4 linked regions of the Drosophila melanogaster genome follow. The protein of the gene in region 1 purifies or fractionates together with the protein of each later gene. This does not show direct contact. Each region holds a gene or a part of one and is shown in the gene's direction. Other genes may lie near its edges.

Region 1 (5,029 bases):
TTGTGCCAGGACCTGGCCTTAAATCGTTCGGAAAACGGTCAAGCCATGGCCGTGGAGCTAAGGTGCAATAAGTCTGGTGATTGAGAGCAAATACGGTTGTTATGAACAAAATGGGTGGCCAAACAAATTCTAACCAGCATCGCATCTGTAAATGTCATAATCAGCTAGTAAACGACTATCCAATTTGTCAAGCTCTTTCCAGAAAATATTTACCCTCGAGCTTTAAGTGATTTATGAGTGAAACTCATTTTAACTTTCGCAAAACTAAGATATAGATATACTTTAAAACATAATTCGGGGATATACTTTTGGCTGTAGTAGCACCAACAAATTAATTTGTTTCACCATATTTTTCGCTCTTTTCGACTTGCCAGCGGGCAGTCGCGAATTAAATGAAAATCTCCTCGAGGCGCCAGACAAGCAAGTTGAAAGGAATTCAACTACAGATATTAAAGGCAGGGAAGAACTTGAAGTGCAATATTCAAATTGAATTGAAAACGATGAGTGTTGAAGTGAAATCGTAAATAGGTGCATATCCTGTAAGATGCACAAACTGCATGCTTTGCAGTAATAATCATTCGGCAAATAGAAAGTGATTTACAAAAGAAACAATTGTGGATCCGTTCAGCTTTGGTTCTCAACTGAATACCCCACTTAGCCGGCCTGCAGTTTCGACCATCCCACTTCAGTCCATAAACCAATCATGCACTTCATCAAACACACAACAACAGCAGAAGCAGAAGCAGAAGCAACAGCTTCGCCAGAACGCAGCAGCCGGCGATGCCTAATTAGGCCCGCTTAAGACAACACACTGACCGGGCCAAAAGCAATGGGGCCAGGTCCGATGGTCGATGGTCTGCCGGAAACAGCCTTAATTATGCGTAAGCCGTAAAGAGCCCATTAATGTCATTTTCGTTGCATGGCCAAAGGACGCTGGGCGTTGGGTGGTGGGTGGTGGGCGTTGGTACTAATGTGCTTGGTGGGCGTAGGGCGTGACAAACGCATGCTTGATCAAGCGAAACGGGACTGTACTAATCAAGCGGATTCTTATCTTCTAGATAGGGAGAACATAAAAAACAATCGGGATCTTTTATATAGTGTATATAAGGGCATAAGGATATGCTAGATTCGTTGAAAAGTAGGTAACTGGCATAAGAAATAACAAAAGAAAAAGTCATTCCCGACAGTATTAAGCATATATATGTAATCAGGATCAGTGGACGAGTCGATTAAAACGTGTCCTTCTGTTCGTCCGTATAAGCGCTGTGATCTCGGGAACTTAAAAGTTAGGAAGCTAAGATGGAGCAATCAGATTCTAGACATGTAGACGCATCACAGTTTGTTTCAGAAGAATGCCACGCCCACTCTAACGCCCACCAAGAGCTCAAAACTTTTAAAAAGTGTTTTGATATTTGCTTGCAATTTCTAAAAATGTGACAAGAAAATGTTGAATACACCTGAGAAGAGGGTATATAATATGCGAAGACCATAGCCTTGTCTCTGTTCCATATTAATTAAAAATGCTTATTTATGACATTTTAACAATAAAAAATTATTTTAAATTATGTTAATGCTGACATCTTCGGCATTTTAAAACGGCAATGTTAATAAATAAATAAGTGCTTAATAATAATATGTTTTGTAGTGCTTCAGAAAAGATCAATTAAGAATACAAATTAATTTTATTTTTTGTTTTCCCAATTCAAATTATTGACAAATTTGAACCGAGCACAGTGCGATTTTTTGGTATTTTCAAAATGTAAGCTTCTCATATATATGGTATAAACCAAAAAGTGCGAAACGGTAACACACAAACAACACATTATTTTGTTGATTGTTTTTAACTTGCAATTTGTGCTGTTTTACTGAGTAAATGAATCGGCCCAGTAACTGGGATGATCCCCAGGGACCATGCCGCTACTGTGAATCGCCGGTGGAGGACGACAACTACCTGGAGTGCCAGGAATGCAGGCGGATGGTTCACATCAAATGCCTGCCGCATGCTTGCACGCCCGGAGATCTTTTAGGCGACGTTTTCTTCGAGTTCACGTGCGTCAAGTGTGTGCTGGATAAAGCTAAGGAATCGGTCATACCCTCAGATCTAGAACCCATTAAGGAAGTGATCGTGCGCCAAAGGATACCTTGGCTGCTGGTGCTCACCCTAACGCTCTACAATCTGTCCATCAAACAAAAGGGCTTGGGACACCATGGATTCTTCCATTGGCGCACGCACATCATCAGTTTTGTGGACAAGAACTGGAACTATATATTCGGTCCCAATGTGTAAGTATTCGTAAATGAATAATTTCCGGAGAACACATTCAATTTATTCCCCTTGTTCAGGCGGCGTCGCAAGCAATGGACTGGTTCCGTATCCGGCGCACTGTCCCACAACAGTCCGGAGTACTTTCAGTCTGGTCTGGATGTCTTTCAGGAGAACGGCTGGTGGAAACTGGCCAAGCCCTTTCAAACCCCAAGAAGCGTTCTCAAAGAATGTAAGTGCCACTTAAGTTAATGATATGATAGATTTCACAAGTCGTCACATTTCAGATGAGAAAAAGCAACAGTTGCGGCTACAAATGCGTATTGAAAAGCGGTTGCCTGCAGCGGACGAGACCAGCTGTAGCAGCGAGATCTCAGTGGCGGATCATGCCCAGGATAACCCACCGCTTATTAAAGCAGAAGCTGAGAAACCCAGTTCAACAGAGGGCTGTGCGCGAACAATGTAAGATAATTAATTTTGAATACAACTATGCGTTCCTTTCATTAAAATCTTTCACTTTTATTCCAGTCCCTACATGGGCCGTTTGCCAAAGATACAAACACAACCTTCACCCTTGTCACAGGAAACGCTTCCAGGGCCACCAATTCTTCAAGAAAATATAGCGCCACCAAGTCAGAAGGAGGAAGAACCACAGAATCAGCCTATGAGCATGGTCCAAGCAGGCCTGATGGATTTTCTGGCTGAAAGTTTGGAAAGCGATGATTTTACCATGTTTGGTAACCTACCAGGCATAATGCCCCCACCCCTGATTGGAGCGGGTAAAAATGATTTCTTCATGACCGAGCCGTTGCTTCACGCACCTTTGAATAATGAAGGTCTTTTCGACATGGATACAAATTTTGCCATACCAAATACCGCTGATGAGACCAAACCCATATCAACAGAAGAACCTGCAGCCGAAAGCAGCGAGGAACAAAAAGAAGGCGAGGTAGAAGATGAAAAGCCAGAAGAGGACGAATCACCCGACTATCAGCCACGCATCGTACAGGTTACAAATTACCAGGCGCAAGAGGCAAACGAAAGCATCAAAGAGGAACCACTAGAAGAGATAATGCAAGATGATGACGTCACGACAAATAGCAAATCCTCTATCCTAGAGCCTTGCAAACCGAGTGGATTTGTCAGACAACCACGGCGAAATTGGCCCTGGTTGCAGGAGGCGCAGGATCCCGATGACATGGCCATTCCTAGCGAAAATCTCAAACTAATAAATGCATACGAAGAACAGAAGTTGTACCAGCGACTCGATAGAATATTCGCACTGGAGCATCAGTGCCACATATCCATACCTGCCTATGTGCGGCGCCTATATCGAAAACTTTCTCTTCGAAAATGGAAAAGGGACCACAATCGACACATATTTAACTTGGACGAGCACATAGATCCCCTGGGAAGAGCACGCCTAAAGATGCTGGGTCATCAGAAGGCCGAAATTCTTGACAGATATCAGTTGTTAGCCCATTCACGACAAGATGCAAGGAGCTCCTTTCACGCCCGCCTGGCGGGATGCACTCAATACGAGCTCTTTGAATCGCCCTACTCTCAAAGAGTTCTTCATCCATTTATCTTTCGGAGCGAAACGATGGCTCCTCCATGGCTGAAGCTTATGTGCGAGCTGCAGCATAGAGTAAACGGATCTCATCCCACAAGATCTACCATCGACTTCTGTTTTGTGAGACCGCAGCATATTCCGGCCGTAAACGCATTACTCCAAAGTACTTTTTGGCCAAACATTGATGGTGGGTTTCATGATTTTCTTTTTAGCTTTTTTAATGTACAAATTTGTATGATTTTTTCCCTTTTAGTAAGCGAGTGTTTGAGCTACCCGGACTACAGTGTAGTGGCGTTGTACAAGAAACTGGTCATCGGTTGCGGATTCCTAGTGCCCGACGTAGGTTACAACGAGGCCTACATCTCATTCATGGCGGTGCGGCCGTGCTGGCAACGCAGTGGCATCGCCAGCTTCATGTTATATCACCTTATCCAGACATGTATGTCCAAGGACATAACGTTGCACGTTTCCGCCACCAACGCGGCCGTCATGTTGTACCAGAAATTCGGATTTAAGATGGAGGAAATCATCTTGGACTTTTATGACAAGTATCTGCCTCTGGACTCGAAACAGAGCAGAAATGCCTTCTTTTTGAGATTACAAAGATGAGACTTTTTTCAAATAAATGGTTTATGAATCTAAAGTTTCAAAAGACTATTTCGAAAGAGAATTTTTGGTTGCCAAGGTATGGCTTTGGCGCACCCAACTTTATTAGTTTTAAATTTTAACCTAAAGTAGTTCTGCTTAGAATTTGCCAAATTTAGGCGAATATTTTTTCCTCCCTGCGCTTTTTGGTAACCACCGTGCCAGGCTTGTGCTGCGCTTCCGGGTGATTCATTAGCTCCGGCGGACAGGTCGAGACAGGACTTGCAGACACACATTGCTTTAGATCGTAGAACAAAGCGCTATCGTCCTTGGTGACAAACGAAATGGCACAACCGGTTTTGCCGGCACGACCCGTACGACCGATACGATGTGTGTAATCCTCGATGGTCTTGGCCATGTCATAGTTAATAACCAAGGACACGTCCTTGATGTCGATACCACGACCAGCGACGTCGGTGGCCACCAGGATGTCCTTTGCGCCTGACTTCAAAGCAGCCAAAGCATACTCTCTCTGCTCCTGACCCTTGCCACCGTGCAATGTGCACGAGTTGTAGCCGAGTTTCTCCAGACCCTTAGCCAAAACATCG
Region 2 (5,638 bases), about 10 Mb from region 1:
CACATCGGCTGGCAGATTCCGAAAATGCTGACTCTTTACATCGATGGCCTGTAAGCTAGAGTTGTAAGAATGTCGAGCGGTTGACTCGTCAAAGGAGCTGTCTGAGGCACTGGCACTGGTGTCCTGCTCGCTTTCATCTTGATTATCTTGCACCGATGCAGCCGGCAGTTCGGGAAGCTTAAACAAGTCATCCTCGTCGTTCTTCTTAGCTGGAGGCGGTCGCTTAACCGGGGATTTCAACAGTAGCTCTGCATTCTTGCCCAGCGCTTGCTGCACTACTTTTTCTTTGGCCAGGGATTGAAGGAGCAAAGCCTGAATGCGATCAGCTTCGTTGCTGAGCTTATTCCTCTGCTGCTGGCGACGTGCCTGAAGGGGTGACATAAAGAGGATTTAATTTAGAGAGTGAATTTGATATATTCCCCTATTATAACTCACAATAGTGTCCCTTTTAAGCTGCGGCACGCATCCATCGAAAATGAAAACCGGTCGCACACGATAGTATAGCAATTTACAGAGACGATGGAATAGACCCAGTAAATGGGCATTACTCAGGGCCGATCCCTTGTTGTCCTGAAAGCCCTTCACAACCTGATGCAACCAAATCGATATATCTGCAGGACGAAAAGTACTCCAATCAGCAAGTATTTCATTAGGTGGCGAAAAACGATGCTTACCCACTGCTAGGATTTTGCCCTCCAAAGTCTCTACGGGGACTGGCTTGCCGCACGGCTCAATGAGCTTCCACAAGCCCGTAACTCCCATTTTCTACTAAAATATTAATTGTATAAAACATGCAAAATAATAACTAACTAAACTTTTTGTTGCGATAAGACGCGCTTTTTTAAACAGCTGTTTCCAGTGCTGGAAAGAACACGCGGTTATCTATCTGGATGATTTTTAAAACAGTGATTTTCTGATCACATATATAAACAAATAATTACTGAAATACTTAAATATTATTCTGACACCTTTATATACTTTGAATGAAGGCGTAAAAAACTAGATCGGACTGGATTGAAATGCGGCATTATTTAAGGGTGTAATTCCAACCGTCACTTACAATCCCAAATTAATCCCATGTAAACGTTGACTAACAACATAATTTAGTCTTTGAGGAAAGTGACAAAACACAAGTGAAGTTCTTAGATAATGCCTATGTTTAATGTTTTTTGTTAATGCTCAATACTAGCTTTGTTCTTAATGACTGAAGAGGATAATTGATCCGTATAGTTTCTCCTATTCGTAATCACTCGGGGGCTTCCTCTGCTGTTGCGGTGGCACTGGCGTTGGCATTTTCGGCAGTGTTGGAATCCTTCTTGCTGGCCTTGCTCTCCTTTTTCTCCTTGACCACTTTACGATAGACCTCGAGATCCTGCGTCAGAGAGGGCACGAAGCTTTCGAAGTCTAGCTCGGTGAGGGTCTGTAGAATATCCTTGGCCGTGATGGTCTTGTGGTTCTGCTTGTGGGCCAACGCCGTCGACGAGGATGTCACGAAGATGGCAAACACAGATGCCGCTCGGGCGATCGCTGCTCGCGCTTCCTTGCTGACACTAGCTGACTCCGGCAGTGCTTCCTTGATGAGCCGGCCAATCACGGCATTCGGCAGGTTAAGATCCTCGATGCGCTCGACCATTTTGCTGCTGCTTATCTGCTTTTACTTGGTGGGCACTTTTGATTTTCCGTCTAGATTTCGGCGTCTTTGCTTCCCGCGTAAAGAGTAAACAGCTGGCTGAACAGTGTTGGACAAGGCCAGCGTGCACGCATCTACACCAGCGATGTGGCAACTCCCCCACTCAATTCTGTTTGCGCCGCCTCGTTCGCATCAATTGTTTACACATTTTTATAAATAACAGCCAATTACCCCGGCCTAAATGTGCACGGAGCGATTCGGGCCAAACTTGAAGCTGTTCCCCTCCGAACTAACGTGATACAAGTCCTGTGCGTGTGCCAGCTACCACGCACATGGACCAGCAACAAGCGACGCCGCCAAAAAAACGCAGGCACAGCGAGTACCACGATCCAGATTATCAGCAAACGGAAGTTTCTAGCCAGGATGAGGAAGAAACCTGCGCAGAAGCCGAGTCGCCCGGTCAAAGAAAGTGGACCAAGACGGAACAGTCGGATGGCATGCTGCCGTTGTCCGACAAATTTCAGCGCATCCGGGAGCTGCTTCGTCTGGAGTTCCAGCGCGAAATCTCTCAGAAGGTCGAGCAGCTGGCCGAGATCGACCGACGACTGCTGCAAGGACGACAACTGTTGGACAGACTACGCTATCAGGTGGTCAGCGAATATTACCGAAAGCAGCAGGTCCCCCTCACCGGCGCGGATATTGCGAAAGTGCGCGGCGACAGCCTTTTTGGGGACGACATAGCCGCTCCGCAGCTGCCACTGCATCCAGCCATTAAAAAAATCGTTGGCAAGCGCCCTGTTGTCATCCAAAATCATTTGCCAGAGCGCACGGCGGCCACCTTGGCCAAAGAAACCATCCGACTGAGGAATCCGGCTCATCGTCGGGCGGAACGAAGGCGGCAACAGAAGATCAAGGAGCAGGGCATCGTAACCGATCACTCCAAGGACAAAAAAGATCAGCCAGAGCAGGAACCTCCCATTTCCGTTAAGTTGGAGGACGAGCAGCCGTGCACCAGCCGACAGGCCCACGAAAGGCAAGTGGAGCTGAATGCCTCGCGGCTGAATAACAAGAACAAATTCAACTTCGTGGTGGGTAATACTTCCAAATACATTGGCGAAGACTCTCGAGAGAATGGCACAGGTGGGAATGCTTTGACCTATAAGTGGTTGGTCTATGTGCAAGGCAAAGATCTACCTGAACCACTTGAAAAATACATTAAAAAGGTAAGTAATTCCCATAAGCACGTACGGAGTGATTCAATCTCTTCTTCGCAATTCTAGGTGCGCTTCCACCTCCATCCGTCATACCGCCCAAACGACATCGTGGACGTGCACAGGTCTCCGTTTCAGCTTAACCGACATGGTTGGGGCGAGTTTCCGATGCGCATCCAGCTATTTTTCCAAGAGCACTTGCAGCAGAAACCCGTGCAACTAATGCACACGGTGGTGCTGGATAAAACAATGTGTGGACTGCACACGATGGGCGCAGAGACCACTGTGGAAATATGGCTGAGAGCAAAACAGGCGATAACGAAACAGAAAAGCGGCAAACCTCATCCTCCCCATGAACAGGAGACTGCAGTTCCTGCTCCACCTCTGGCTGCTCCGAATGTTTTAGAGCCTTCGGTTTTCGCCTTTCCTGGAGAGTCATGCAAACCGCGCACCATTTCAATCACTCAAAATAAGGAGGAACTTGATGACAATCTGTTTGCTGGTATCAACAAAATTGAACTCAGCGACGACATTGAGAAAATTGAACCAACTGTGTTGGTTTCAGAGCCCCTGAAGTTAAACTACAGTCCAAGAAAGCAGCCACCCACTCCGTCATCGCCTCCTAGGACTCAACTTCGGTTAAATGCGGCTCAGGTCACCGCTTCGAAGCCTTCTGTGGTCTATCTGCCAGTAAACGGCCGAAGTCCTAGGCAGGAATCCTTGCCAGAAAGGCAGCGGCAGGAGTTTTCGCCAGTAAAGCACTATCCACCGGCATCTCCGCAGAGAGCGTGGAAGGAATCCTCGTCGGATCGGCCACCAATAAAGCCTGTGCCCAATGGCCATCACCAGGGCAAGAAGAATGTTGTGTTTCAGAGAGCAGGAAAGCTGTACATTATCGATCCCTTGCAGCGCAAGCTTAAGCAGGCTGCAAAGCAACAATCCCTGCTGAAACCACAATTGAGTCTTCTTAAGCCACCGTCAGAAACGCGATGGCATATGCTGCAGTGCATGCAGCACGATCATGGGTACGCCAACATGAGCGGCGAGATGGAGGAAAAGCCAATGCTGTTACCTCCAATTGTGGACACTACCATACAATCGCGACCCCGAAGGCTGGAGCACATCTTTAGAAGTGCACAATTCCGAAATATGCGCAGTGCTGTGGAGTTCCTGCTGAGCCGCCTCCCGCTTGCGTCGATTGATCAGCAAAAGGAGTATCCATTCACTTGTATAACCCTCGAAGAGTTCCACAATCACACTGCTCTAAAACAACGTTGCTTTGAGTACCTGCGCGCACGTATGCTCCGTCGCTGTCTGATGCAGCACCACGAGCTGCATAAGTTGGACATTAGTGGAAAGGAACACTACTGGAGTTTACGGGAGATAGTGGCGTTCGCCAGGGTTCATGGTTATACGCCAGCTCTCAAAGATGTTTTACCTGTCGTGCATGAAAAGAGAAAACAAAAACTGAGCGATGAGGAGCAACTGGCTCGGCGTGTTCAGGCGCAACTAAAGGGCGAGCCCCAACCGCAACTGTCGGCCTATAGCAGTCTCAGCTCAGGCAATCGGCTGGAAGCTTGGATAACCAAGCAATCCGATCGTCTGCTTGGTCATGATCAACAGATGCGGGATAAGGAGTTCATCGATGTGTTGGGTGTGGACAAACCTCATCCGCTTGCGTCCAGGTTAACAAACTCAGCAGATGTATCTTTCCAAATGGTGAATCATCGCCAACTACTTTATCTACCTCCGCCGAAGCACTTGGATTCGACCTTGCAGCTGGTCCAGGAAATGTGCAAGGACATTAATATCACACTGGAACCGGAGGAATCTCCGCCTGGCGTCTCCCAGCCACTGGCTCTCTCGATGCTCGGACAAGTGCTGCGCACTTTTATTGAGAAATTGGTGCGCCGCTCCTTGGCGGCGAAACTGCAACAGGAGACTTTGGAACAGTTGCCACCGGCGGCGGCCAATGCTCCGTTGTGTCTCCAACCTCAGGACATAGGCCGTGTCATCAGTCTGTGTTCCGAATTGGATTTCCTCGGAAACAGTCACTTGGGAGTTGCTCCGATAGAACCACAAATCTAATGTGCAGTTGCCATTGTTTTGAATTTATTTTTTATCAAGTCCGCGTCATAGTTCAAATTCTACTGGGATATTAGTTGATATCTAATTAGAGCCTTGTACTCGTTGGTAAGCATAAATCTAAGCAATAAATTAACTAAATTAATGTCCGAAGAAATGAATACTGCGTTTTTAATTATCAACGATTATCATATTTTGGACGAAATCATGAGATGAGTGGTCATTAATTTTTAAATTTTGAATATCTGGCTGAAGACTTTTAAATTGTTTTATCAATATAAATAATAATCGCTACAATTGCATATTTGTACGAAACATGTAAACATTTTTAAGTCTTATCAGCTATCTTCACAGAGTAATATATCTTTATAGTGCCCTAGAAGTATGCAGTGAAAAGTGCCGTTAACAAATTGAATAACTGTTAAAGGGCGGTTTTTTTTTGCAGCTCTTAGCATATCCATATGATTCTTCGACTATTATCGGTCGCAATCGCATCTCTTTTGGGGGCGCTCTCTTCGCTCTCCCCGCTCACCGATCGATTTCATTCATGGCGCATGCCAATGCCGCCAATGTAGGGATGAGGTCCATCTGTTTCTCTGGCTCTGTTTTCCTCAGTCTCTTTTCCGACGTGCGCGCAACAAGACCTAAAATCAAAGTGGAGCAGAGAAGAGCCCGCTTCCCGCGCTTGCTGCTCTTTAGATTAACTAATTAA
Region 3 (3,080 bases), about 10 Mb from region 1:
TATTGGTGGCCGATCCGACGAGGATTCCTTCCACGCTCTCTGCGGAGATGCCGGTGGATAGTGCTTTACTGGCGAAAACTCCTGCCGCTGCCTTTCTGGCAAGGATTCCTGCCTAGGACTTCGGCCGTTTACTGGCAGATAGACCACAGAAGGCTTCGAAGCGGTGACCTGAGCCGCATTTAACCGAAGTTGAGTCCTAGGAGGCGATGACGGAGTGGGTGGCTGCTTTCTTGGACTGTAGTTTAACTTCAGGGGCTCTGAAACCAACACAGTTGGTTCAATTTTCTCAATGTCGTCGCTGAGTTCAATTTTGTTGATACCAGCAAACAGATTGTCATCAAGTTCCTCCTTATTTTGAGTGATTGAAATGGTGCGCGGTTTGCATGACTCTCCAGGAAAGGCGAAAACCGAAGGCTCTAAAACATTCGGAGCAGCCAGAGGTGGAGCAGGAACTGCAGTCTCCTGTTCATGGGGAGGATGAGGTTTGCCGCTTTTCTGTTTCGTTATCGCCTGTTTTGCTCTCAGCCATATTTCCACAGTGGTCTCTGCGCCCATCGTGTGCAGTCCACACATTGTTTTATCCAGCACCACCGTGTGCATTAGTTGCACGGGTTTCTGCTGCAAGTGCTCTTGGAAAAATAGCTGGATGCGCATCGGAAACTCGCCCCAACCATGTCGGTTAAGCTGAAACGGAGACCTGTGCACGTCCACGATGTCGTTTGGGCGGTATGACGGATGGAGGTGGAAGCGCACCTAGAATTGCGAAGAAGAGATTGAATCACTCCGTACGTGCTTATGGGAATTACTTACCTTTTTAATGTATTTTTCAAGTGGTTCAGGTAGATCTTTGCCTTGCACATAGACCAACCACTTATAGGTCAAAGCATTCCCACCTGTGCCATTCTCTCGAGAGTCTTCGCCAATGTATTTGGAAGTATTACCCACCACGAAGTTGAATTTGTTCTTGTTATTCAGCCGCGAGGCATTCAGCTCCACTTGCCTTTCGTGGGCCTGTCGGCTGGTGCACGGCTGCTCGTCCTCCAACTTAACGGAAATGGGAGGTTCCTGCTCTGGCTGATCTTTTTTGTCCTTGGAGTGATCGGTTACGATGCCCTGCTCCTTGATCTTCTGTTGCCGCCTTCGTTCCGCCCGACGATGAGCCGGATTCCTCAGTCGGATGGTTTCTTTGGCCAAGGTGGCCGCCGTGCGCTCTGGCAAATGATTTTGGATGACAACAGGGCGCTTGCCAACGATTTTTTTAATGGCTGGATGCAGTGGCAGCTGCGGAGCGGCTATGTCGTCCCCAAAAAGGCTGTCGCCGCGCACTTTCGCAATATCCGCGCCGGTGAGGGGGACCTGCTGCTTTCGGTAATATTCGCTGACCACCTGATAGCGTAGTCTGTCCAACAGTTGTCGTCCTTGCAGCAGTCGTCGGTCGATCTCGGCCAGCTGCTCGACCTTCTGAGAGATTTCGCGCTGGAACTCCAGACGAAGCAGCTCCCGGATGCGCTGAAATTTGTCGGACAACGGCAGCATGCCATCCGACTGTTCCGTCTTGGTCCACTTTCTTTGACCGGGCGACTCGGCTTCTGCGCAGGTTTCTTCCTCATCCTGGCTAGAAACTTCCGTTTGCTGATAATCTGGATCGTGGTACTCGCTGTGCCTGCGTTTTTTTGGCGGCGTCGCTTGTTGCTGGTCCATGTGCGTGGTAGCTGGCACACGCACAGGACTTGTATCACGTTAGTTCGGAGGGGAACAGCTTCAAGTTTGGCCCGAATCGCTCCGTGCACATTTAGGCCGGGGTAATTGGCTGTTATTTATAAAAATGTGTAAACAATTGATGCGAACGAGGCGGCGCAAACAGAATTGAGTGGGGGAGTTGCCACATCGCTGGTGTAGATGCGTGCACGCTGGCCTTGTCCAACACTGTTCAGCCAGCTGTTTACTCTTTACGCGGGAAGCAAAGACGCCGAAATCTAGACGGAAAATCAAAAGTGCCCACCAAGTAAAAGCAGATAAGCAGCAGCAAAATGGTCGAGCGCATCGAGGATCTTAACCTGCCGAATGCCGTGATTGGCCGGCTCATCAAGGAAGCACTGCCGGAGTCAGCTAGTGTCAGCAAGGAAGCGCGAGCAGCGATCGCCCGAGCGGCATCTGTGTTTGCCATCTTCGTGACATCCTCGTCGACGGCGTTGGCCCACAAGCAGAACCACAAGACCATCACGGCCAAGGATATTCTACAGACCCTCACCGAGCTAGACTTCGAAAGCTTCGTGCCCTCTCTGACGCAGGATCTCGAGGTCTATCGTAAAGTGGTCAAGGAGAAAAAGGAGAGCAAGGCCAGCAAGAAGGATTCCAACACTGCCGAAAATGCCAACGCCAGTGCCACCGCAACAGCAGAGGAAGCCCCCGAGTGATTACGAATAGGAGAAACTATACGGATCAATTATCCTCTTCAGTCATTAAGAACAAAGCTAGTATTGAGCATTAACAAAAAACATTAAACATAGGCATTATCTAAGAACTTCACTTGTGTTTTGTCACTTTCCTCAAAGACTAAATTATGTTGTTAGTCAACGTTTACATGGGATTAATTTGGGATTGTAAGTGACGGTTGGAATTACACCCTTAAATAATGCCGCATTTCAATCCAGTCCGATCTAGTTTTTTACGCCTTCATTCAAAGTATATAAAGGTGTCAGAATAATATTTAAGTATTTCAGTAATTATTTGTTTATATATGTGATCAGAAAATCACTGTTTTAAAAATCATCCAGATAGATAACCGCGTGTTCTTTCCAGCACTGGAAACAGCTGTTTAAAAAAGCGCGTCTTATCGCAACAAAAAGTTTAGTTAGTTATTATTTTGCATGTTTTATACAATTAATATTTTAGTAGAAAATGGGAGTTACGGGCTTGTGGAAGCTCATTGAGCCGTGCGGCAAGCCAGTCCCCGTAGAGACTTTGGAGGGCAAAATCCTAGCAGTGGGTAAGCATCGTTTTTCGCCACCTAATGAAATACTTGCTGATTGGAGTACTTTTCGTCCTGCAGATATATCGATTTGGTTGCATCAGGTTGT
Region 4 (3,985 bases), on another chromosome or scaffold:
TTGGACGTTATTAGCTCTGCTTTCTTTCTGTCCACATCTTGGACTTTTGTCAATTCCTCTAGACGCTTTGCGTGGTCATTCTTGACATTAGACAGCTTTTTTAGTGCCTCACGCTCTTGCTGTAGCGTTTTCATGTCAATCTTTTGCGACTCTTGCGTAGAGTAAAATTCATCAACGGCTTCCATAAAGGACTCAAATGTGGCCTTTTCAAAGTTTTTGAATTGAATAAAGAGGTAGGGATGAAATTCGATGTTTCTAAAGAAAAACTCCACCGTTCCATTCTCTGTAGGCTTTTCCTCTTTAACTTGAATAATGTAGCCTTTACTTTTTCCACTATTTCCCTCAGCTATAAGCTCTTGAGCATCCTAAAAGATTGCACAGAACGTTTTATTTACTTTAACAGCAATAATAAATATTTCCACGATATTGTTCTTACCTTTACTGCTTGCTGAAGAATTGGCAAGTCATTAACCATGTCAAATGGTTTCTGTTCCAGTTTCGTATTCTGTTGCTTCTTACGTTGCTTTTTACCGCCCTTCTCCGGCTTGTCCTCCGCCTCCGGCGTTTCTTCCGTTGTTTCCTTTTTGATAACGTGATTGTCCAAGCCGTGTGAGAGGAGAACATGCTCTATAACTGCCGGACCACAGTCCAAGTTGGGTGTTAGAATCTGTCGCAAATAGTCGCCGTTCCTGGCATTTTCCAACAGCTTAACCAAAGCTTCCAGTTCCAGTTCCTTCGTGGGCTGTTTGGCCCGTTCCACGGGATATTTCTCGCGCATGGCGAAGCGCAGGTTCTCGCCCTCCGTATGCGGACGCAAAATATATAACGTGGTCAGCTCGTAGTCGGTGAGGATCACATTACCACGATCGTAGAGCTCCAAAATAACATGGTAGGCGGCATCACCGGTACCGAACTGAAAGTCAACAATACGATCGCTACCCATCTGTTGAACCTTTTCCAGGCGCTTGTTCTTCAAGTGCTTCCTCAACTTCATGCTGAAACCGGACGGAGCCATGTTCTTGGGCCATTCGAACCTAGTGGTATGGAATCTTGTACCAGATTCTATTAGCAGAGTGACCTTCTCCACTGCACCGGTCCCTTGCATCCGGAAGAGGTAGGTCTTGTTATCCACGTCATAGATCTGATTCACTCGCCAGCCGACCAGCCTGGAATATAAATGTAGATGTACCATTATTCCTGGGCATCGGAATTATCCGGATTTTTTACATACTTTTGCAGTTCCGCCACTCCGCAGATTATATCGAAGGTATTGAAACGTGTCTTCATGGTTCTTTATGGAAAGTTGACGATGTCAACACGGAAAGTGAAGAAAAAAGAATCTATCTGGCAACTTAACTTATCATTAAATATTCACAAGTTCGCTATCTACGTTAGATAAGTTAAATTAGTTTAATAGGGAATAATAACAATTTTATTCACTTGCGAAATTAAGTATCGGTGTAAATTGCGATGGACGAACTTTAAACAAAATATATCGATTGTATGCTGTTGATGATTCGGATTGTCAGAATGAATTCGCTGTATAATTACTATGTATTAAATATTTGTATTGTTTATGCAATGAGTAAGAAGCTTCTTTGATTTATCTAAAAAGTTATTAAGCATTTAATAAAGTTTCAGTCAGCTGTTTCCCTTTCCGTGGACTATTCCACTTCGTTCCGATAAGAAATCGATACATAGGTAGTCGGAAAATGGAACTGCTGTGTCATCGCCAATCTTCATTTGTAAATATGAATGCGGATGGACCTGTTGTCAACGTGCACGTGTTGTTCTTTGCTAAATCCCGTGAATTAGCAAACACTCCCCGGTCGACAGTGGAAGTTCCTACTGAAATTACTGCCACCGAACTGCTGGACCACCTGGTGTCCAAATTTGGCCTGACCTCCATCCGGGATAACTTGATTTTGGCCCACAACGAGTCGTACATTGACAACCTGAGTGATAGAATTCTGTTTAAGGAAGGAGACGAACTCGCCATCATACCGCCACTGAGTGGAGGCTAACCTTTCCGCCATGGATCACGTGAAATTGGTAAACGACCCCATAGATATCGCTCATATCCATCAGTTGCTGGCCGATGAAGGCTGTGGAGCCTCATCCGTTTTCGTGGGCACTACGCGCGATAATTTTCAAGGGAAAAAGGTGGCTTCATTATCTCAATCAATTGATTTCATTGATTCATTTGTACTTTTCGACCTTTCAGGTGCTGTCATTGGCGTACGAGGCCTACGATAGCATGGCACTCAAGGAAATGAATAAAATATGCTCAGATCTCCGATCTAAGTGGCTCGATCTGAAGCACATAGTCATATATCATCGATTGGGAACAGTGCCCGTATGCGAAGCCAGTGTAGTTATAGCCGCCTCGTCACCACATCGTTCTGAGGCCTTAGAATCAGTATCTTTTGCAATAGACCAGCTAAAAACTCGGGTTCCCATCTGGAAAAAGGAAATCTACGACGGCGATAACGACAGCGAATGGAAGGAGAACAAGGAGTCCATCAGGCCTAGTAAGATCTTATGAGTAGCCAGCATGACATGTATTCTTATTATTTGTACACTTGTAAATATAATTAACAATCGAGCGTTTACGATTTTATTGGCTTCTCTCTCATCTGTGCATGTACATTGTAGAGAAATCGAAAAGTGGCTTCAACTACGCCGCTTGTCCCTGCAAAGTTGAGGAGTCACATGACGTCCCGCGAACTCTGGTGCAAATTAGAGTTAATGACGCTGAGTTAACCAAGCGTTTAGAATGTTTTGTCAACAGAAAACGAGACGAAATAAACTCACAAAATGTAATTGACTTCAAATCGTCTTTTGTCAGCTCAGACCAAAACTTGAGCGATTCCTGCGCTCGAACGCAGAGCACAATTATTAAGCAGGAGCAGTCAAATTGCCATTTAAAAGGTGGGTAAACGATGCTCTATTTTCATAACTATAGCCACTTTGGTCTACAAACAACCTATCACAGTCCGACGAGTAAACAACCGATGCGGACCTCAGCAAATGGAAATGCGACCCAACTACGAACTCGAACTGAATAAACTAATGGGATCGCGTGACGGTCAAACGGATCCAACCAAAGAAATGAGGAAATCGCTACCCAATTCACGACTACAGGCAATTGAATCGTACATGGGTCTAACCACCGACAACGAGGAAAACATTTTCAGTAGAATCAAACGAGTGGAAAATAGACTGCTGCAACTGGAGTCCATTTCGCCCGAGTACAGACACTTCGTAGGTTCTTAAAACATTTCCTGTAATTGCAGTTCTAAAAAAATTCAATCTATTCTCAGACCAAACGTGAACCGTCATCTATGGAAGCCGCGCCGCCGAAGAAGAGCCGAAAGAAATCGTATTCGGCGCAAGAATTAAGTGCATTCATTCAAAAGATTAAGGATGGCAGCGAATTAAGCTAATAAAAACCTAATTAATTATTATTCCTTGGTTTGTAATTGATGTAAATTTATTTCAACATTCCAACTATTTGTAATAGTTTTTTTTATGCGTAAATGATGAGAGTGAAAAATGCAAAAATTTTTGTTTACAACTAAGGAATATGGATAAGCGTGGCTGATTTGTTTCTGTTTATTAATCGGTCGTCAAGCTTCATAGATCGCGCCCGAAAATCTAATGGTTATTTGTTAACCGAAGGACCAGCTTACTAATTATTTAATACGCGAAATTATTAAATCTTATTGTTGTTCTCAACTCCTAGCACAGAGTGGGGAATTGAGCTTCATCGTCAACCTTCAGTGGCTTCTGGGCGGAGCGGCGTTTCTCTCCGAATCTGTTGTTGTCTTGTCTGTTTTCATAGCCGTTGCTGGGTCCGTTGTTAAAGCGGGGACCACGGAATCCCTCTCCACGCGGTCCGTCATTGCGGTAGCCTTCTCCACGCGGTCCCTCATTGCGTGGACCCTCTCCGCGAGGTCCGTCGTTGCGATAACCACCTTCTCCG

Evidence for each region.
Region 2: the proteins of Atac2 (region 1) and D12 purify together in Drosophila melanogaster (affinity purification with mass spectrometry; 4 studies listed by BioGRID, with this or other methods). This does not show direct contact.
Region 3: the proteins of Atac2 (region 1) and Chrac-14 purify together in Drosophila melanogaster (affinity purification with mass spectrometry; 4 studies listed by BioGRID). This does not show direct contact.
Region 4: the proteins of Atac2 (region 1) and Mocs2B purify together in Drosophila melanogaster (affinity purification with mass spectrometry; 4 studies listed by BioGRID, with this or other methods). This does not show direct contact.

What each region holds. Positions count from the first base shown.
Region 1 is NT_033779.5:18,609,023-18,614,051, reverse strand, and holds Atac2 (Ada2a-containing complex component 2), read left to right. Parts: upstream 1-1,802; 5' UTR 1,803-1,873; coding exon 1,874-2,283; intron 2,284-2,343; coding exon 2,344-2,495; intron 2,496-2,550; coding exon 2,551-2,725; intron 2,726-2,791; coding exon 2,792-4,023; intron 4,024-4,089; coding exon 4,090-4,445; 3' UTR 4,446-4,476; downstream 4,477-5,029. Other genes in the region: CG10333 (uncharacterized protein), read right to left, coding at 4,597-5,029.
Region 2 is NT_033779.5:8,433,500-8,439,137, reverse strand, and holds D12 (D12), read left to right. Parts: upstream 1-1,772; 5' UTR 1,773-1,962; coding exon 1,963-2,853; intron 2,854-2,910; coding exon 2,911-4,929; 3' UTR 4,930-5,080; downstream 5,081-5,638. Other genes in the region: mus201 (mutagen-sensitive 201), read right to left, coding at 1-366, 436-611, 675-762; Chrac-14 (chromatin accessibility complex 14kD protein), read right to left, coding at 1,247-1,633.
Region 3 is NT_033779.5:8,435,475-8,438,554, forward strand, and holds Chrac-14 (chromatin accessibility complex 14kD protein), read left to right. Parts: upstream 1-1,930; 5' UTR 1,931-2,030; coding exon 2,031-2,417; 3' UTR 2,418-2,522; downstream 2,523-3,080. Other genes in the region: D12, read right to left, coding at 1-753, 811-1,701; mus201 (mutagen-sensitive 201), read left to right, coding at 2,902-2,989, 3,053-3,080. UniProt on the Drosophila melanogaster protein: Accessory component of the DNA polymerase epsilon complex. Participates in DNA repair and in chromosomal DNA replication. Histone-like protein which promotes nucleosome sliding of ATP-dependent nucleosome remodeling complexes.
Region 4 is NT_033777.3:25,125,113-25,129,097, reverse strand, and holds Mocs2B (molybdenum cofactor synthesis 2B), read left to right. Parts: upstream 1-1,738; 5' UTR 1,739-1,751; coding exon of another isoform or gene 1,752-2,024; 5' UTR 2,025-2,034; coding exon 2,035-2,163; intron 2,164-2,224; coding exon 2,225-2,531; intron 2,532-2,655; coding exon 2,656-2,931; intron 2,932-2,995; coding exon 2,996-3,264; intron 3,265-3,323; coding exon 3,324-3,446; 3' UTR 3,447-3,466; downstream 3,467-3,985. Other genes in the region: Clbn (caliban), read right to left, coding at 1-365, 437-1,166, 1,232-1,287; Mocs2A (molybdenum cofactor synthesis 2A), read left to right, coding at 1,752-2,024; vig2, read right to left, coding at 3,742-3,985. UniProt on the Drosophila melanogaster protein: Catalytic subunit of the molybdopterin synthase complex, a complex that catalyzes the conversion of precursor Z into molybdopterin.